3 linked regions of the Callithrix jacchus genome follow. The protein of the gene in region 2 purifies or fractionates together with the protein of the main gene of each other region. This does not show direct contact. Links are inferred from orthologs where the notes say so. Each region holds a gene or a part of one and is shown on either strand. Other genes may lie near its edges.

Region 1 (6,936 bases), on a different chromosome or scaffold from region 2:
TACAAATTCTTTTTAAATATACTTAAGTAAGCTGCACTCTCGAAGAAAGTTTATACCTCTTTAACAGAGTTAGTAAAGTGCTTCATATACAATCTGTATATATCAAGGTACTCCATTTTTACTGAATGTTTCCACAGGCCATACTTTTTAGGAAATGCCACCTAATTTATAGGTATAAAATATATACCATTTAATAAAGGTAAGTTTTATTTATTATATCACCTTAGTGATTCTAAATCAAATATGAAACATTTATTTCACAGAAAGTAATCTGTAATAGTAAAATGATAATAATATAGGTAGAACTTTCTTTTTATTTTTGAGACGGAATTTTGCTCTTGTTGCCCAGGCTGGAGTGCAATGGCACAATCTCAGCTCGCTGCAACCTCTGCCTCCCGGGTTCAAGCGATTCTCCTGCCTCAGCTTCCTGAGTAGCTGGAATTACGCACATGTGCCACCACACCTGGCTAATTTTGTGCATGTTTTTTAGTAGAGATGAGGTATGTCCATGTTGGTCAGGGTGGTCTCAAACTTCCAACCTCTGGTGATCTGCCCATCTCGGCCTCCCAAAGGACTGAGATTACAGACATGGGCCACTGCGCCTGGCCGATGCATAGAACTTTTTAACCTCTCTTATATTTACCCCTACAAAAGCAGGTTGAAAGGAAAAGAACATACCGTATTTTTAAGTCAGAGATTCGAGTCCTGGTTCTGTTAACTCTGTATCCCTAAATGAGTTATTTAACTAGTTGCAGCCTGTTTCCCTATCCTTATGCAACAGAATAAAAGCCTAGCTTTTGTGTAGTGGGCATCAGGAATGTTAGTTCCCTTCTCCCTCCTTGGGGCCTATAACTGGTGTATTAGAAGGTTTATCAGGATTTTTTTTTTCTTTGAGACAGGGTCTCACTGCAAGTCCAGGTTGGAGTGCAGTGCGAACATAACTTACTGCTACCTCAAACTCCTGGGCTCAAGAGATCCTCCCACCTCAGTCTCCTGAGTAGCTGGGACTACAGGTGCACACCACCATGCGTGCTAATTCTTTAATTTTTTGGTGGAGACAAGCTATCACTATGTTGCCCAACTGGTCTCAATTCCAACTCCTGGCCTCAAGTGATCCTCCTGCCTTGGCCTCTCAAAGTGCTCAGATTGATTACAGGTGTGAGCCACTGTGCCAAGCCTATCAGGAAACCTTTCTAAGCTGTGATTTGTCTTTGGAATGGTTTTCCTCTCCTTCATCTGAGTTAACATTCAGCCCAAATGCCATCTTCTTTGAAGCCTTCCCATACATCTGCAGGAAAAAGCTCCCTTGAATCTCCCATTAAAGTCTGGATATGTGCTTAAGAGTTTATTTCCGTACGTTACAATCTCATTTTTTTTTTGCCTCTCCCAGTAGACTGTGAGCGCCTCATGCACAGAGACCATATCTCATATCTCACTTACCTTGATAGCCCCAGCCCTTGGAAAAACACCTGGCACAATACAAACGTGGAACAAAAAGTCTGCTGAATGAATAAATGAAGTCATCCCTTAAGTAGTACTTGTAATTACTACCAGGTGGACCCAAACTTTATGGTTTTGCCCTTTACAGGCTGAGATCCTATTTCATACTTTTTCAGATCACTCCCTGATAGCATCTGGCAGAGTACTAAGGACAGGAAAAGTCCCCAGTAAATACTTTTGGGTGATGGGATATATATTACTCTTCCACTTCTCTTGATTTGACTCTAAATTACTTATTCTAGTGGATGTGACTTTTGAAAGCCTTCTTAAAAAGGGGCCCTTCTTTTTTTTTTTTTGAGACACAGTTTCACTCTTGTTACCCAGGCTGGAGTGCAATGGCGCAATCTCGGCTCACTGCAACCTCCACCTCCTGGGTTCAGGCAATTCTCCTGCCTCAGCCTCCCATGTAGCTGGGATTACAGGCACGCACCACCATGCCCAGCTAATTTTTTGTATTTTTAGGAGAGACGGGGGTTTCACCATGTTGACCAGGATGGTCTCGATCTCTTGACCTCGTGATCCACCCTCCTCAGCCTCCCAAAGTGCTGGGATTACAGGCGTGAGCCACCGCGCCCAGCCCAAAAAGGGGCCCTTCTTAACAGTTATTGGCCAAAAACTGAAACACCAGAGCTAAACTACAGATATTTTTTTCTTTGCAGGTGTTTTTAAATAATGCAGTAATGGATTGCTTCTTTCTAAACCATTCAGTAAGAAACAGTAACATAAAGAAACAGTAACATTCGCTATGAAATATGCAAACGACATCAGGCAAAACTTAGTTTAATAACTTCCAGCCAAAGGTTCCCCACCCTGCAGTCATGGGGCTGTGGGCCAGCTGGCTGTACCACCTCACCCCCGGGAGATGACTGCTTTTCAACAGTAAAACTGCGTAAGTGACATTTGGAGTTTTGGGAGGGGTCTTCTGAAGTAAAACCTGTAAGTTTAACTTCTTATTAACAATAAGTCTTATGTTACAAGCTTTGGCTTCATGTAGAAAAGACCCTGTAAAGATCTCAAAAACTTGGAACTCGGGGACATTCCAGACGTCTTATGAGTTTAAAACCATACAAAAATATATGCAGGGGGTAATTCCATTATTACATTTAAGTGATGTATTCCACATTCCTGTATATACACACACTTCATGCCAAATAGAGGCTGGCAAGCAGTTAACCGTTCAACTGCCCTTTCGTTATGCTGCATAACGGAGACGAGAGAGAAATCTTGACAAAGCCAAGCTGGGCTAGTGCTTAATGTACACTGGGGCAAACCAGTCATTCTCAACATCCCAAAAGCAAACATTTCTTGTACCCTTACTAGCGCCAAGCACTGTGTCCAACGTTTCACGTGAATTATTTCATTTCACACTTACAACAAACAGCCATATGCGATTGGTGGTATTAACGTTCTCATTTTTCAGACGAGGACACCAAGGCACAAGATTACACAGCTAGCAAGTAAGTGGCAGGTTTGGGAGTCGACTTAAAAGGTCCAGCCCTGGGCACTATGGAGTATCAAAGGTACCCGAGGCGGGGAGGGTGGGCTGCAACCAGCGTCCTGGCAGACAGACGCTTTCTTAGAGGGTAAAGTTCTTGACCATCAAGTTTCAGATCTGCAGAGCCCTGTACACCTGGCTGCGATTAGGTTGCTACAGCTGAGCCTCCCTGCCTGGGAATCCCCAAGAATGCACTTGGATCCTGAAGGTTTGTACGAGATCCCAGAGAAAAGGCCGACACCTCATCGCTGCAATCAAAACACACCCGGGGAGCTGCGAGGGCCAGGACTTTCGTGCTTCCCGCCCAGAGCACCGCGGCCCCGCCAGGCGGTGCACAGGTGCACTGCCCCGCCCGCCCGCCTAGGTCCCGGTCCCGGTCCCGGCCCCTGCCCCGGCCCCGGCCCCGACACAGTGACCGCGGTTCAGCGACTCGCGTCCCGAGAGCAGGGGCAGAAGGCCGGCGGGAAGAGGGCCGGGGGCGCGAGGGCCGCCCCGCCCGACCCCCGGGGGGCGCTCGCAGAGGGGTCGCGGGGAGAAAGGATGCTCCGGGCGGGGCGGGGCCGCGGTGGGGGAGGGGTCCCCAGCCTGGACTCTCACTCACCGCCTCTCGCTGTTCCTGGCCGGGCTCCGCGGCTCGCCCCACTCCGGCTCTAGCCGTCCGCGTCTCCTCCAGAGGCTCAACGTCCATCCAGGGCGCACGGAGCTAAGAAGTCGCCGACAGCGGAAGGCGAGTGGCCAGCAGCAACCGAGAAGGTGGTGAGGATGGGACCGTCGCTCTAGCTGCCGCGGCCACCACAGACGCTGCTACCGCCGGCTCCTCGCAGCCGCGGAAGCTGCGGGCCCGCCCACCACGCCCGCCTCCCGCCCTGAAGACCGCCCACTAGAGAAGTGACGGCGGTGCTAGCCAATCATAGGCCTGATCGGGGTCGTGATCGGCGGACTATGGGGCGGGCAGAGAAGGAAGCGGCACGAAGAAGGCGAGGACGGCGGCGTGACTTCCTGTGACTGACTGCACGTCGCAGCCAATGGGCAGCGGGAAGATGACCTCATCGCTGAGGAAAGTCTGGAACTGGCTGAGCTGCGAAGAAGAGGTCGGCGACGAGCCGGGGGCGGAGCGCTGGGCCTTAAAGAGGCCGCAGCCCACTGGTCACCCTGTGAAGGAAAGGGCGGTGGACCCTGCCGGACCTTGCCAAGTTGCCAAGGGATCAATGCTCAGCCGCGAGTAATTACTCCATTAATCCCAGACCCCATCCTGATTCTTCTCCGGGGCTGAAGGGTCTCCGCTTGGGACTCCGAAGTCGATCATTTCACATTCACGCTTCCAAAACGAGACACAATAAATTCCTCTCTGGCCTGGAGCCCTGAATTCCTGTTACAGTCCCGCCCCGCCGAGGTCCGTCACCTTGTTTCTCTGAGTCAATTTCCCCAACGGTGAAAGGGAAGACGCTGACACCTGCCTGCCCCTCCCTACCTGCCAAGACCGTGGTGATCAGCAGCAGCGAAAGTGCTCTGGGCTTGGAAGAGGAAAAGGGCTGCGTGAGCCCAAGAGCTTGCATCGGAAGACTCCAAGAGAGCATTTGCAAAAGGAGGATTCCACGGGATGAACCCCGACGACTCTTGGAATTCTAAAATCCTATACCCTTGCCGCACCCATTCGTGTAGTGAAGGGGCGCGCCTTAGGCGCAGAGGCCACACACTCAGCAAGTGAACCCGGACACCTCTCTAAACCTATTCTGGGCTGGGGGCGGGGGGCGGGGAGCAGGGTGGCTGCCCGATTTAAAAACTGTATTTGTGAATATATATCTATTTTTTTAAATGTGTGAAGTCCATGACTGCAACAGGGAGAAAGGATAGAGGCAAAAGGGGAGAGAGAAACAAAGTAATCCAGGCCCATTGCGACGAAAGCCGCGGTCAGGCAGGCCGTTCATGTCCCTCTTCCTCCCCAGCAATGGGAGAGAGCCCAGAAAAGGAGAAATAACTCCAACTCGGTGGGGTGGAAAAGAGGGGGGAAGCGCTTTCCGGAAGGCGTCCGGGGATAGGGTCACCAGACAGAGTCAGAGGAAGGAATAACAGTAGGTAGAGGAAGAAGGGGTCAGGAGCATTCTTCTAGGTTTGGGGCGGACCCGTGAATAGACACAAAGACTGAAAAGGAGCCGCTCACTTTACATTCCAGGGTATATCCTCACTATGACCCTCTTTTCCCCCTCAAAGGCTTCTGGGACTGCCCATTGGTGAACTCTCAGAGGGAGGGCGGGAGAGGGTGCCGCTCTCTCCAACAGCTGCGGAAGTCAAAGTGGCCTTGGAATATTCCCAATTACTCACTATAAGTCAGTTTCCGGTTCAGTACCAAAGCCCCGGTGGCAGAATCTTGGAGCTAGACGGATCCTCGTGGGTCCTTAGTCACACACACCTTCCCCCAAGGCAGAAATTCTTGCACAAAATACCTGATAAAATTATTTATTCGACAAATATTTTTTGAGTAAGAACACTGAGGGCGTATAAGATACAGTCACTACCCTGGGGGTGCTCACACCAAACTGGGGGATGCTAAGGCATGTACTTCGGTGACTGCAGTGCCAGGCGGATATCGCAGGTGACTAATGGTGCAGAAGTGTGCCTCGGAGGAGAAATTACCCCCGTTGGAATTATTGGGGTGGGGCACATTTCCCCAAAACATGACCAGGGTGGGGCTGGGGCATTCCAGATAGTACCCACCCAGACACAGCCCTCCTGAAAAAGTCCAGGTGAGGAGGCACAAGTGTATTTTATTAGTGACAGGAAGTGAGTTCTGCCCATTCATGGCAGAGACTATAGACAAGCTCACCCTCTCACAAATACCTCTGCTGTTTTTCTGGACAACTTAAGTTGTACATGTTTTATATACTCTATATAGACACACATATACTTTGTGTACATATAAAGGGTTAGGCTGGGTGTGGTGGCTCACACCTGTAATCCCAGCACTTTGGGAGGCTAAGTCCAGAGGATTACTTGAGGTCAGGAGTTTGAGACCAGCCTGGCCAACATGGTAAAACCCCGTGGCTACTAAAAGTACAAAAATTAGCCGGGTGTGGTGGCGCATGCCTGTAATTCCAGCTAGTCAAGAAGCCGAGGCATGAGAATCGCTTGCACTTGGGAGATGGAGGTTGCAGTGAGCCAAGATCCCACCACTGCACGCCAGCCAGGGCAGCAGAGAGGGTGAGACTCCATTTAAAAAAAAAAGGCGGGGGGGTTATATATATTTCTGTTTATATATATTTCTTATGGGCTGTCTGCCTCCCTCTAATCTCTGACTCCGCTCCAGCCTAGGTAACAGAGTAAGACTCGGACTCTAAAAGAAAAAGTAATAAAATCATCATTGCCCCTAGATCCTAATGGTATCCTCTAATGCTTCACAGAACATGTCTAATCCCACTTCACTTCCTTTCCCACACCCGCTACCCATCTCCACAAAGCAATAGGGATGAAGACCCTTTTTCTTGCCATCAGTCCTCAATGATGGTTTTCATATGCCTTATTATCCTAATGACTTCAAGTGGCTATCCTTCAGGATCTATTGGGGACATGTGTTATTTGTGTCATTCCCAGCAAACACTCTCTTTTTTTGGTAAGGGAACCTCACTTTCCTCTGGGGAACTGTCAGAGGTGTTCAAACAAGAACGACTCCACCTTAAATAGGGGCTGGGTAAAATAAGGTTGAGACCCCCTGGGCTGCATTCCCAGGGGTCAGCCATTATAAATCACCAGATGAGATAGGAGGTCAGCACAAGATACAAAGACCTTGCTAATAAAATACGTTGTGGTAAAGAAACCGGACAAACCCGCCAAAGCCAAGATGGTGAGAAAAGTGACCTCTAGTCATCCTCGCCGCTCATTATACACTAATTATAATACATTAGCATGCTAAAAGACACTCCCACTGGCACCGTAACAGTTTACAG
Region 2 (6,942 bases):
AAGGGAGAATAATACCTAGGTTGCTGTAAGGATTAAATAGGTTAGCATACGTAAATCACTTGGAAAACAGTACCTGGCACATAAAAAGCCCAAAATAAACATTTGCTGTTCTTATGATAATGATGATGATTATTGCCATCATTATAATCCCGAGTTCTCTGCTCCAATGGACTGTGGTAATCTCACTGGCTGGGGAGTCAGGACATCAAGGCCTGTTCCTAGCTCTGGCAATGACCATTTATGTGACCCTGAAATAACCACTCCCCTTTTCTGAACCTTGGTTTTCCTCTATAAGCATGAGGGGGCTGGGCTGCTATGTTTTCTTTAAGAGTTTTTACAGCTCTGATTTGTCAGGCTTCCGATAGGAACTCTAAGTTTCTCAGGGAACTTAGAGTTTGAGAGCGATCTTGAGGGTCTGGCAATGATGCACATCCAAGATGTAAACTACCAAAAGAATGTACGCATCTAACAAATTTCCTGGGAATGAGACCTACTGTTACAAAAGTTTAAAAATTATTACAGATGATATGCTACTAAGAGAGGGAGAAGCCTACAGCACTGACTCTCCCCTCAGGGGGCCTTCGTTCTTAGAAGGGGAAGGAGGAAACTGAGAACCAAACCACCAAGCCCAGACCCGAACTGAGTCAACCAGAGGCTCAAAGGCTGGGGGTGGTTCGGCACGAGTCCTTTGCTAAGCAGCTGGGCCCAGGACTCTTGATTGGCAGAGGCGTTGCTAAGGCAAACAGTGCCGCTTCCTACCATTGGCCAGTTAGTTAAGCGCTACCCGGAAGGTGGAGCTCCCCAGACAGCAAGGGAGGAAGCCCCACCCCCTCTCCTTACCGGGAAAAGGAAGGGGGAGGCGTAACAGCCCCGGCATCCCTAGCAGCAGGCGAAAGCGCTCCCTAACTGCCCAGGCCCCCAACATCCTAAAGAGGCAGGCGGCAGGCTTGTAAGGTAGTCTCCGACCTAGTCAATCAGCCTGCCTGCCGAGAGTGCTGAGTTCCCAGGACCCCGGGAGCAGAGTGCTCGCTTTCTACTCCCAGGCGACCCAGCCTGGAGGGCTGGGCTAAACTACACCCCCGCCCCTAGTGGGGAGACAGCTGGCGGGAGGAATGCAATGGCCCTGCCAGGCAGGCGGGCTGCGGGCGGGAGGCCGGCGTGGAGCCCGAGCGGGCCTTATATGGGCACGGAGGCCGCCCGCTTATCTAGGGGGCCGGGCTCTGTCAGGAAAGCGAGGATGGACACCTGTCCCTTAGGACGAGGGTCGCTAATCCGGCTCCACTCTACATCCGTAGGCACCTATCCACCTGTCCTGGGCCAGAGAGGGAGAGGAACCCTCTTCCCTTCCCTCCTCTCACACAGGCAACCCAAACACACCTTGGTCTCCCCACTGCTGTCAGATTCCGACACCTGGTAGGTGAGATCTGTCTCTTCAAAGCCAGTGGCACTCATTCTCTGGTCTGTTGTGGGGTCTGAGCGGGGTGGAGAGTCTGGCGAGTTGAGGCAGGTCTGAATCAGTGCCTTGCCGGTTTCACTGGTGATCATGGGTTGCAGTTTGCGGGTGGCAAAGGTATACACATGGCCTGTCTCACTGGCCACCAGCAACAGCACCTGTGTCCCTGTCAGCGTGGACAGCTCATAGGCCTGAGGGGTGAGGAGGGAGACAGGCAGGTCAGCAAATTTTTAATCTCTACCTTCCTTGGGAAGTTGGAAAAAGAAGAATTATACAGTGATCCCCGTTCCCCCATTCCCATAATGACCTTCATCTCTAGTGACTCTGGGGGCAGAGTGTCCTATCAGGATCTCTGGAAGCAGCAAAACTACCCATGCTCCTCCTTTGAGGAGTAGCCCCACTGACCCGTAGATACCCCAAGCAAACAGTAATAGCTGGCCGGTGGTGGAACATACAACCTCAGGGGATACGAACGAAGGACCCAGCTAGCTGCTCTCCAACACAGCTTAGAGTCTGGAATGTCCCAGAGCCTCACCCCTCCTCACTGTCACAGGGACCAGGATGGATCCCTACCTACCACAGTGGAATTTGCACAAGACAGTGATAAGGGACCACTCAAGCTCCAACTGTTCCATGTTTCTTTCCAGAAACTGTACAGGCTCCAACTTGTTGACAGCCTAATTTCTCCTTTTGTCCTGTAATACTTTACTGCCCTTTTTTCTTTGTCTTGGGAAGAAGGTTATGAAAGGAGAGAAGAGAGTTTTCCTTCATTAATTACCTCCCCCCACAACCCTCTCCACTGATGATCAAGTGATAAGGGACACTGATACAACAGTGTCCTGAGTGATGGGAGATGAGACCTAGATTAGTACTGAACATCCTGCCATGAGCCCAGGAAGAGGACCTTAAAGGATGGCCCCATGGATGCCATACCCTCCCAACGAAGTTCTACGAACCACCTTGGAAGCAGCTCTGGTTTCTACATGGGACAGAAATAAACACCAGCCAGTGTTCCCAAGGATCCAGCTCCTTGTTTCCCAATTCCTCTGCTTTCATCCCTTCCCTTACCTTCTACACCCCAAAATTACTCCTTTCCTCACCACTTTCACTGGCTGGCAGATGAGAAATTCCTAGGTACCTCTGCAAGCCTCCCTGACTTCCCCCAAACCCCATCCATGCATAGATTCTCCATAGGGCTGGAAACCCCACTTGTCCTAACTGCAGGAAATTCTGCAGCTGGTCCTGCCAGGAGCATGCGGTTCCCAGTGGATGCCATGAAAGACTCACGACCGGCGCGGGACTAGGTCCCTGCTGCTCAGGGCAGCACCAGTTCTCCTGCCCGGCTCCCTTACCTGGTTCCTAACCCTGCCTGTCCTTCGAACAAGCACTACTCTTGTGGTGCCCGCTTCCTCCCACACATGCTCGCTCATTGTTGTCATGCAGCTCCAGCCTCCTCACCTCCATACCTTCTCGTCCGCTCCCTGCTTTTCCGGCGCCCTCCTCCGAACACCAGAGTGCACAGGACCTACTGATCCCGCTTCTCTTTATCCACCTCCTTGGCAGCCTGGCAGCCTCGAAGCCTCTCATGACCACTCCTCACCCCTTCACTCAGCAAGAGCCCTCTTCCCCTCGCGCGCCGGTCACTCCCACCTCGGCGCCTTTCCCCACGGTTCCGGGTGTTCGCGGGATCTCCCCTCTCCCCACATTTCCCAGGCGGCCCCTCCCCTTCGGCCCTCCCCGGGCAGGAGCCATCCCCTCCCACATACCTCCAGAGGACTCGCCGCCTCTCACCTCCGCCTCGGCTCAGCCTTCCTCCCGGGCTCCCCCTGTGCATCCCCACCCCTCCCGGCCTCCCGGGCCCGCCAGCCCGCCGGCTTGGTACCTTCTTCATGATGCCCGTCTTCCTCTTGCTGAAGGTCGTGTAGCGCCGCAGCTTGTTGTCGATGAACTCCATCTTGATCTTCACGCGGCCCCGGGTCTTCTTACCCGGCTTGGCCCCGCTCACCGCGCCGCTCACCGGCCCGTAGCCTCCGGTGGCCGCCGCCGACGCCTCGGGCCCACCGACCACCATGCCGATCTCCATCTCGCTCAGGCTCCGCTTCAGGCCGCGCCGCTCAGCGCCCAGCTCCTCCTCCTCGCCCGACTCCGAATCGCCCTCGCTGCCGCTGTAGAGGGCCCCCGCGGTGGGCGCCGGGGTGGTTGCCGCCGCTGCCGCAGCCTCCCGCTCCAGGCGGCCGGGCCCGAGCCCCGCGCCGTTCCCGGGGACTCGGCCCCCGTTAGCACCGCGAGTCCCGCCGCCGCCGCCGCCCGGCCGCCCCGTCGGGGTCCGATTCAGGCTGCCCCCCAGGGCCGAGCCCCGGCCCAGAGTCGCCGCGGCCCCAGCTTGGCTCGGTAACATGGCGCTCGATGCAGGAGGGCGGACGGGCAGTCAGCGAGGAATCGGAGACGCCGCCGCCGCCGCCATCGGCTTCCCGGCTCAACCCGGCACTCCCGCTGCTGCTGGTGCCGCTATCGCTGCCGCGGCAGCTGCTGCGAACCCGGGGCCCCTGCACGCCCGGGCCGACCTGGGCCCTCACTTTCCTGCCCCTGTGGCCCGGGCTGCCCCAGGCCGCGCGCAGCGCCCCCTGTCCGTCTGCTAGGGCGGCGCGCCCGGCGGCCGTCAGCGTCCCCCGGGGGGCAGGGGCTGCTGGCCGCGGCCGAGACAGCGGGTGGAGGGGGCCGGGACCACGCGCTGGCGGCGGAGGGATCCCCCGACCCTTCCCCCCATATAAAGAGATACAATGTTTCCTTTTATGGCGAGGCCGCTCCTTATATGGTGAGCCCCAGCGCCCCCGCCCCATTGGTCCGCGGTTCCGGCACCTCCGCTCCCCATTGGCCCACGGGTTCGCTTATTTGCATAGACATACCGAACTCGTTGCTGTCATCCCGCGTCAGACCGCGACTCCAAGAAGGGAGGAGCCGACGCCTCTTAAAGGAACCGGAGAGCAGGCACGACTCCGCCTCCCTGAACCCGAGAATGGTAGCATGGTTTGGGAGGCACCGGCGGAGAAGCAGCCTGGGAGAGGACTGGAGCGCAGTCTTGCGGAGGAGAGGGAGCAGCACTAGGAAATGGGCATCGGGACGCTGGAGGCAAACACTGGGGAAACCCCTGGGTGGATTGTGGGGTTTGCAGTAAAATTTAAAATGCAGCTCAGATTCCAAGGGAGGAGTGTAGGGATCGATTGGAGCACTTCCTCACACCCTCCTGAGGAAGGCACAGTTATTGGCGGAGCGGAGGGGGCTTGGGTCCCCGGTGTCCAGACTTGTCGCGCCCCGGCCCCTCCGCTCTAACTTTTCCCCTCCCCCCCGACTTCCCTTCCTTTTCCCTCGCTTTTGTAGGCGACGACACTTTCCCACCAAGCTGGCTCGCGAATCCTCATTCATCATCCTCTGCACGGTGGGGTCTTTGGCAGACATACATCTGGAAAAGGCGGGTGGAGGGGAGGGCGAGAGACAGATCGGCCTCCCACTCCCCGAGGCGGGCAGGGAGAAGAGACGGAGATCAGTGAAGACTTCCAGCTGCAGGCTGGGCTGGGGGGAGGGGGGCGTCCCGAGGATAAAGCCCACCCTACCGCCAGTGCAAAGACCGGGGAAAGTGTAGCCTGACAGAAAGTTTAAGCAAGAAAGCACGCTCGCGCACACACACGCACATGCACACCCTTCTCTGGAAAGCCCGTTGGAGGAAAAATAAATTTTCTTCTTCAGACATGGTATCGCTCTGTCGCCCAACCTGGAGTGCAGTGGCGCGATCTTGGCTCATGACAACCTCCGCCTCCTGGGTTCAAGCGACTCTCACGTAGCTGGGACTACAGGCGCATGCCACCACAGTGGCCTAATTTTTGTATTTTTTTGTAGAGATGGGTTTTTGCCTTGTTGCCCAGACTGATCTCGAACCCCTGGCCTCAAGCGATCCTTCCCCCTCCGCTTCCCAAACTCTTAGGATTATAGGCTTGAACCACCGTGCCCCGCAGAAAAAAAATTTAAAGATTAGAACTGGGGTGCTGCAAAGCCAGGTTCAAAGTCTGGGTCTGGATGTTTTTGCCAAAGCAGTGAAAATAGCTTGGACTTTGCTGTTAGAGAATTATTTAAATCTGGAATCTGCCTCTTGGTAGCCCTGTGCCTGGAAACAAGTGATCTGATATTTCCAAACTCCATATTCATCAATGTTGCTATCCATTCCATGAGATTTTTGTTGTTGTTGTTGTTGAGACAGAGTCTTGCTCTGTCGCCTAGGCTGGAGTGCTGGCACAATCTCGGCTCACTGCAACCTCCGCCTCCCAGGTTCAATCGATTCTCCTGCTGCCTCAGCCTCCCAAATAACTGGGATTACAGGTGCCCGCCATCACACCCAGCTAATTATTTTGTATTTTTAGTAGAGATGGGGCGATGTTGTCCAGGCTGGTCTCAAACCACTGACCTCCTGGTCACCTCAAGTAATCTGCCCGCCTCAGCCTCCCAAAGGGCTGGAATTACAGGTGTGAACCACCATGTCTAGCCTACTCCATGAAATTCTTAATGCAGATTTAATGAGATAAAGGCTAAAGGGCAAAGTAATTGGTCAGTGCTTAGGCAATAGGAATTACCTGGAGTAAGTCATCTCATCCTAGCATCTTCGAATGTTTAAGGGGATAGGAGACTGATTATTCCTGCCGGAAAAATTGGGAGGATTTAATAAAGCAGTTGATTGTAACCTATTCATTACTAGTAGTGGTAGTAACATCAATTCAGTATACTACAATTGACATTTAAAATAATTAGTGGGTATCACAAAAAGCAAAGTCAAATATTGCTGCATAAAACATTTGTTTGCATTATATATAAGTTGAACCCTATAAAATTACCATTTTATAGGTCAAGAAGGTGGGATATTGTCAGTTTCTTATCATTCAGTGTATGTGACAATATCAACTGCATTTCTTACTATAAGTCACGATCCAAAAGCTTTGAGAAATACTGAAATTAAATATGTGCAAGTGATCAGTAAAATATAGTGTATATAATGAATAAAACATAGCATGTATTTTTTGTAAGATAGAGATGAGGTCTCCCTATGTTGCCTAGGCTGGTCTCAAACTTCGGGGCTCAATCTATTCTCTCACCTCAGCTTCCCAAAGTGCTGGGATTGAAGGCCTGAGCCATGGCGCCCAGCCCCCAATAGTTTTAAAGAGGTTGCCCCTCCCCCCACCAATTTACCCTTTACCACAGGTACTTCAACATATGGAACAAGTTAGCCCAAGAGGAAGAACAGGTCAAATAGATAAATAGGTTCCAGAAGGGTTTTAGGGGCCACAAATGATGCTTGGGGTCATGTTTTGTCTAAGCACCAAAATATTACAGCCAAAGCCCTGGGATTTCATTCCCACCTACCCTCTAAAGACTTTTTCATTTGAGCCTCCTAGTTTAGACACATGCAAGGGTGACATCCCTCAGCAGGGACAGACAACTGCTCC
Region 3 (6,977 bases), on a different chromosome or scaffold from region 2:
GAGCAGAGGTGAAGCTCCCACGTTCTTCCTCACTCATAAGCTGGGGTTCACTCTCATGGTATCCCCTTCCCATTTGGAGTCTTCTGCTTTCATGCCTAAATACAAGTTTTGCATTTTGGGGAGTGCTTGGGGACCTGGAGAATCTCAAGAGCTTGATAGGATATTGGATGGGGCCACAGGGAGTGTTGATCAAAAACCACTCAGATTGTAGGTGGTGTTGCCAAAAGAATACAGAGGGCCCAGTGAAATTTGGATTTCAGAGAAAAGTATGTCCCGAGTGCCGCTATATAGTCAAAAGGGAGTAATAATTATTGCTTGGAAATTCACATTGGACTGGGCATTTTGTATTTTTATTTGCTAAGCCAGACAAGGTTATATTTGTGGGAGTGGGGTTAAGGTCATGGCAGTTGCCAGACTTTCCCTCTGTTTAAGATGGGGAAGTGGGAAAAAGAGAGAGAGGAGCCAAAGAAACGCAATGGTTCTTTAGAAGCAACATCCCTTCATGGACCTCTCTTTCCACTTGTTCTTTCATGTCTGAGGGCTGTGTGTGTCTGTGGGTGGCACACATACGTATGTCCCCCGGTGTTTTGTAGAACACGAGGAGTGATACTGGGGAGAACTGTTGATAGTGACACTGATTAGATATTGAATAAACAACATGAGAAGACTAAAAACTGTACAAATGCGGTTAGTTTAAAATCAACACAAATCACTGCATGTAAACTGCCTCTCCTTCACGTGCAATTGCCACAAGGCGCAATCACAGTTATGTTTGTTCCAGCCAATCTCTACATGTTTCCAGAGAACCATAGAATGTTACCAAAGAGGTCTAAGAAATTGCCTAATACAACCCCGACGTTTACTGATGAAATAACTGAGAATGAGAACGAGCAAGTTACCAACTGCGGGTCCCACTGTACATCAGTATTAATAATAGAAAAATGTTTTGTAAGAGCTTTCTAAGGGCTGGGCATTTTAGAAGTTCTCTACTTCACATTTTATTCACACAATGACCCTATAATCATCCTGATTTTCAGGGGAAGCAAGTTGAGGCACGGAGAATTATGTAATTTACCTAACGTTTAAGGTCATGCAGCTAATGAGTAGAGATTACTATTAAAAACCCAGCGAGTCTGGCCCTGAGACCCATGCTTTTCAAATGAGTTTGTATCACCAAACATGTTCATACAGGTAAACTTTCAGAGTTTACTGCTGCTGTAGCATGATTTTGTCCTTAATCAAGAGGTCACTCAACTACAGCTTATAGAAAGTTGATCGGACATGGCTGACATCAATGATTTCAGAGTAAAAGCAGTTATCTGCTCACTTATAAACAACCCTGTCACAGTGAGTCTGTTGCTGTAATCAGAGAACAATTTCATTGCATTTATTTAATGGAATACATAATACCATGATCTACTATCAAAGCAAATATTCGCAGTGAGATCGAATCAGTTTTATGAGTTTACATTTGAATTGCTTATGAAAGATGAGGAGGAGAAGATGATGAAGGAGAAGGGAAAATAGTGAAAGAGAGCGAGAAATCAAAATAAAGTCGAGGCACTTATTCATTGTTAGCCACAAAATAAACGGCGTTCTCTTAAAGAGAGACCCTACTGTCAGCACGCTGTCACCTCAATGCTGGCCCAGCCAGAGTAGTAATTACATCCGGAAAGAATAACTACCATTGAAACATTACGTTTCTAAGTCTTACATTCCACTTGTTTTTTCTCCTGTCTGTCAAGAGACGATCAACGCTTGCATCTCAGACTCCAGATTCCCTGTTTATCAGTGATGGGAGGATAAAAGACGCCTGCTTCTGCTTTGATATCATGTTTTCCCAAATCCACCCTTCCTTTTGACACAAAAGCCTGCATAACTTTCTTAAAAAGTGAGGCTGGAATTCTCTGAAGCTCCAGGATCAGGGTTTTCAGGGTCTATTTAGGAGACACCAGGACTCCCCAAATCCACTGAAATGGAAGTTGGGAGTGGTGCAAACGTTGCCTTTCCTCTCCACTGCACTTCAGCTGAAGGAGGGATCGATAGGTGTTTTGCAAGTCTACTATCAAGTACATCACCAAATCCTTTTAGAGACAAACCAGCACGCCCAGACCCTCTACATTTCAACTGGCAAGGAAGCATTTGAAGTGAATGCAGCTTCATACAAAACGAATCTACATCCTCTCTTCTTCAGAAAGGTGGCAGTGTTGCCTTGCAGTTTCGACCAAATACAAAGCAGCGGCGCGGTCCCTAGCTAATTAACAGATCAACCGCCTCACCTCACCACGGAAAGGCAGGACGTAATCCACTACCGACCCCGGTGGCTGGTAGACTCATCCCAGAGCGTCAGGGGCAGCGAGGCTTGTGACCGCCTAAGCTCCTGAGTTTTCAACTTGCGTCAACGGTGAAGATCCTAAGAAAATCTCCAGTTGACCCCACAGGCATCTACAAACCAAGGGCATCTAAGAAAGTCACAGATGAACCTTACCTCCTAGCAGCTACATTTTTCCTTTTTGAAACATCCATCCCACGTGAAACAATTGCGTTGGCCCCATGTAAAGGGCTACGAAAGCTTAGCAAACCATGCCTGTATCTTTCTGACACCTGTTATGTCAATATTCGCATCAGAGTTCTCCTAAAAGTAACCAATCTAAGTAGACGTTCTACATTATTGTGTTGTTAACCAGTTTTCTAAAACCAACATTATACACAGAGTTACCGAAAAATAACTTCAGAAGTCAAGTGTTGATTTGTCTAAACGTGGAGACCCACACGGACACCTTCCATGGGCACGTGCACAAACCCTTCTTGAGAAGCAGCTAGAGCTCCCGTCTCTCCCTTCCACTCACCTCCACTCAGCGTCCTTTGAGAAGTTTCTCCATGTGCCACTAACACAGAAATTTCGGGGAAATTCTCCATTTATAAATATCAGATGGTTTGGGAAAAAATATTTGTGGCACTGGGCTTTCTTTTTTTTTTTCTACAGTGATGTCATTTTAAATACTTGGTGTGCTCCAAATTTGCTATTTTTACTTCCTCCAAGTGACTTTTTTTGGGAAATACTTTGTTTGGATTAGCTACATTTTAAATGACCCTGTACCTAACACACAAACATCAGGTTCATCTTCTCAGCGATCATAACTGATACTACGCAGCGTCCAAGCTTGAAATCCCTTATTCGTTCGTCTCCAAAGTTGCCCCTTCTCAATGTACCCCTCCAAGATTTCTATTCACAGATACAGAGAAAATAAAATAGAAGGATTGACCTTTTCACAGAAGAACAACCACACTCTACTACCCAAAAGCACTTACAACGGAAGACACAAAAGGCCCCCAAAAAGTCAAATAAAATTCTTTGCTTCCACAATGTGCTTTTGGGGAACAGAGTTGAGGTAGACCTGGCAGGCTTGGAAACATTTATTGGAAAGCAGTTCTAGAGTTGAGAATGGCAGAAAAGGAAAGTTCAAGAAGGAATGCTAAATGCCCTACCTGATCTGAACTTGCTCCTAATCAGCAAGGAATGCTCAGACCCCAGAAGTGTCATGTTGAGGCTCAGCAAGCCGCGGGTCCCTTTGCCAGGCGCCCCCTGTTCTCCACCAGCAACAGGCTCCCGGGAGCCCAGCTGACCGCAGCTAACAACCCAGAATTCATCCAACTCGCCGTGAGCTCCCCTGGGTAGGAGTACAGTGGCAGCCAGTGTCCCCAGAAAACTGGCGCCTCCCCCCCTCGCCGTGCGGGGCTAATTAACTCTTAGCCGGCGGGACCCTCCTCCTCCTCGGAGGTTGGCTGGGGGCAGCGGCATCCCAGGCGATCCTGGCTGATGTCATAGGCTGCCGGCGATTGCGGAGAATCGCCACCACGCCTTTATGAAGGTCCCAACTTTGCCACCCGATACTCTTTACTACTGACAGGCGCTCAGCCAATCAGCAGCGGCGAGCGGGGCCCGGGGGACCCGGAGCCGCCGGAGCAGTCTCGGGAGCCGGCTCTTAACTCTTTGCAGCGGGCCCCGCGGCCTCCGGGGCGCAGAGGGCGGGAGCAGGGCCGGGGGTCGGGAATCCGCGAGAGGGGCCAGAGCTAAGGAACCGAGGCCCGGAGGAAAGTCAGAGGGGCTGCCACGCCGCGGGGCCTGCAGGTGGTGCGCGGGGCTGCGGCGGCGCGGGGAGCTCTGCGGGCCTGGGCATGGGCGTGCGCAGCCGGGGCTTCCCCGCCAGGGCTTCTGCCTGCCGGAGGGACGCGGTCGGGATCTCCCTCCAGCCGGCGGCAAAGGGCGTGAGCGCCCGCGGGACGGTTTGGAAATCAGCTGGACCCCTGAGAAGAAACGCCTCCGAAGGACCGAAGCCCACACCTTCCCCTCGGTTTGAGGGGCTCAGTGCACAGGCAGGGACGATTCTGTGTCTCGCAGCTCCAATACCGGACTTGGATGCATTTCCACGGGGAAAATGGAAAAGCTTGCATTTTTCTAGGATATGCTTTTTTGGGGGTAGGCTGGGGGATGTGACTCGGTGCATCTGGAGATCCAGCGGCGACTCAATGCTCCCACCTCCAAACCCGAGGGAATGGGGAAAGATACCTGAGTCTGAGTCAAAACCCTACTGGACTGTGAATAGGGAGGGGCTCTGGAGCAGAGGGCAAGCCAGAGCTCTGGTTGGGGTTAGCCTGGAAAGGCGCAAAAACTGCCTGCAAATGAGTCTTTCCATAGGCGAAAGTTAATTCCGTAACCGATCCAGAGTTATTGGAGCATCTTGCCGAGGTGTTCTAGGCACATGGATCAATGAAATAATACAAAGACCCAGCTCTCGAGAAGCTGGTTTAATAGTTGGTGGCTCAGAACATTAAAAAAAAACACACTCTATATACGTATATAATTAGGGTTGATTTGCAACCTCATGTGCACGTGGGTTCCCGGGTGTCGACTGTTACACACAAGCCTGCCTATGTCTTTACTACCAGTCCTTAAAAGATCACTCGGTTACCGATGGAGACCCGAGGTGACAATATAGCTCATGGGACAACCTCTAATGCCCTGAGTCCCGGCCTCTGCCCCATCCGTTGTTGCTGGAAACATATTACGGGGTTAGCCCTTGAGCTCAATCTCTGGATCTGAGCTGGTCTTTTTTGTAAATAAGGTCTTCAGGAATAGACACCTTCTTCCTGATGGGTCAGAGAAGAGGAAGAACAATCCGTCCATGTTGCCTTTGGGAATCTAGTTCTGGCCTGAACGCCAGTCTACAGGCTGATTTGGTGTGCGGGAGCATCTCAGCAGTTATGTAACATCATTTTCCCATTCCTGCTATAACCAATTACTGTGGATTGAGTGGCTTAAAACAGCACAGATTTATTATCTTGCTGTTCTGGAGGTCAGAAGTGCGTCTCAGTGGGTCAAAATCAAGATGTCAGCAGGGCTGCTTTTATTTCTGGAGGCTCTAGGGGGAAATCTACTTCCTTGCCTTTTCTAGCTTCTAGAGGCTGCCTGAGTTCTTGGCTCATGGCCCCTTCCTCCATTTTCAAAGCAAGCAATCCTGGGTCAGGTTCTTATTGCATCTTATCGCTTTAATGCTCCCTTCCCCACCTCCTGCTTCCCTCTTCTAAGGTAACCTTACTGCAAAAATAAACTCTAGGCCGGGCATGGTGGCTCACACTTGTAATCCCAGCACTTAGGGAGGCTGAAGGGGGTGGATCACCCGAGGTAGGGAGTTAGAGACCAGCCTGACCAACATGAAGAAACCCCATCTCCACTAAAAATACAAAATTAGCCAGGCATGGTGGCACATGCCTGTAGTTCCAACTACTCCGGAGGCTGAGGCAGGAAAATTGCTTGAACTGGGGAGGTTGTGGTGAGCCGAGATTGTGCCATTGCACTCCAACCTGGGCAACAAGAGCAAAACTCTCTCTCAATAAATAAATAAATGAATAAATAAGCTCTGTCATAAAGTCAGTTTATCATCCTTCCTACTGCGTGGATTCCCTTTGCTATGTAATGTAACCTAGTCACAGATTCCTGGGATTAGAACATGAACTTGCGAAGAGAGGGCATGATTCCTCCTGTCCCACAGAGACCTTTCTTTCTCTTCTGTCTCTCCTAATCTTCAGTCAAGCCCCAGCCCCCTGGTCTTCAAGGAAAATAAGGAAAGTGGAGGGAGGTTTGGGAATGTGTGCACACAGGAGTCTGGAAGGGCTCCAACTGGCTTTGAGATGTGTGTGGCAGGGAGGGACTCTGCAGGGAAGAGATTGGTGGGATAAAGAATATTGCAAAATTATCTGAGTAAACTATTTTGAGCAACATTAAAAAAAGAAAAAAGAAAAAGCCAAACAGATTTTTATCCCGAAGTTTGGGGCTGAGAAGAGATACATGGCAACTTGGCGGAGAATTATTTTTTCAGTGAAAGTTGGGATGAAATTAGCTGAAGCCAGCACCGAATGTAGGGTCTGCATGACCTAGATGAGTTGGCCAGGAATAAGTTGTTTTCTCTCTGCAGGCCTGGGAGTGTGTGTGTGTGTGGGGAGGAGGGTGGGGGCGGGGAAGCATAGTTTCTTTTTCTCAGTGAGTTTGGGAAATGCCGATAACCACGGTCCTCCTCAATTTTCCCATCACACTGTGGAACTACTGACATGTCCTGAGATTTATACCCCCATGACTTGGAATATCTATGGTTATAAATATGCTCATACAAAAGCTCATCCTCTCTCCTCTCTAGTAGAGCACTTTTTGTGAAAACATATTTTTTTGAGAGGGAGAGGATGTTCCCAAGGAGAACAGAACTCCGAAGCTGCTCTTCCCAAAAACAGCACGCTAATGCAGCAGCGCCATGCCACCAGACTCCGTCCTACAATTTCACCACCTGGGCAGTATGGTTCCCTTGCCATGCTACTCCACAACCTTCTTCCTTGGAGCCTGGAGTAAGCTTGTGATGTGACACAGAGGCAAGACACGGGCCTCCAGCATGAGAAAGATCTTCTTTGAATCATGATAGCCCTGC

The links.
Region 1: the proteins of SRF (region 2) and MRTFA purify together in Homo sapiens (affinity purification with western blotting; 4 studies listed by BioGRID and IntAct, with this or other methods). This does not show direct contact. The link is inferred for Callithrix jacchus from reciprocal best matches to the Homo sapiens genes SRF and MRTFA.
Region 3: the proteins of SRF (region 2) and MYOCD purify together in Homo sapiens (affinity purification with western blotting; 3 studies listed by BioGRID and IntAct, with this or other methods). This does not show direct contact. The link is inferred for Callithrix jacchus from reciprocal best matches to the Homo sapiens genes SRF and MYOCD.

What each region holds. Positions count from the first base shown.
Region 1 is NC_133502.1:191,340,519-191,347,454, forward strand, and holds the start of MRTFA (myocardin-related transcription factor A), read right to left. Parts: upstream 3,839-6,936; 5' UTR 3,684-3,838; coding exon 3,597-3,683; intron 1-3,596. UniProt on the Homo sapiens protein: Transcription coactivator that associates with the serum response factor (SRF) transcription factor to control expression of genes regulating the cytoskeleton during development, morphogenesis and cell migration.
Region 2 is NC_133505.1:51,642,325-51,649,266, reverse strand, and holds the start of SRF (serum response factor), read right to left. Parts: upstream 4,241-6,942; 5' UTR 3,852-4,240; coding exon 3,336-3,851; intron 3,132-3,335; exon of another isoform or gene 2,920-3,131; intron 1,645-2,919; coding exon 1,378-1,644; intron 1-1,377. UniProt on the Homo sapiens protein: SRF is a transcription factor that binds to the serum response element (SRE), a short sequence of dyad symmetry located 300 bp to the 5' of the site of transcription initiation of some genes (such as FOS).
Region 3 is NC_133506.1:79,200,414-79,207,390, reverse strand, and holds the start of MYOCD (myocardin), read right to left. Parts: upstream 3,839-6,977; 5' UTR 3,545-3,838; coding exon 3,490-3,544; intron 2,896-3,489; exon of another isoform or gene 2,850-2,895; intron 1-2,849. UniProt on the Homo sapiens protein: Smooth muscle cells (SM) and cardiac muscle cells-specific transcriptional factor which uses the canonical single or multiple CArG boxes DNA sequence. Acts as a cofactor of serum response factor (SRF) with the potential to modulate SRF-target genes.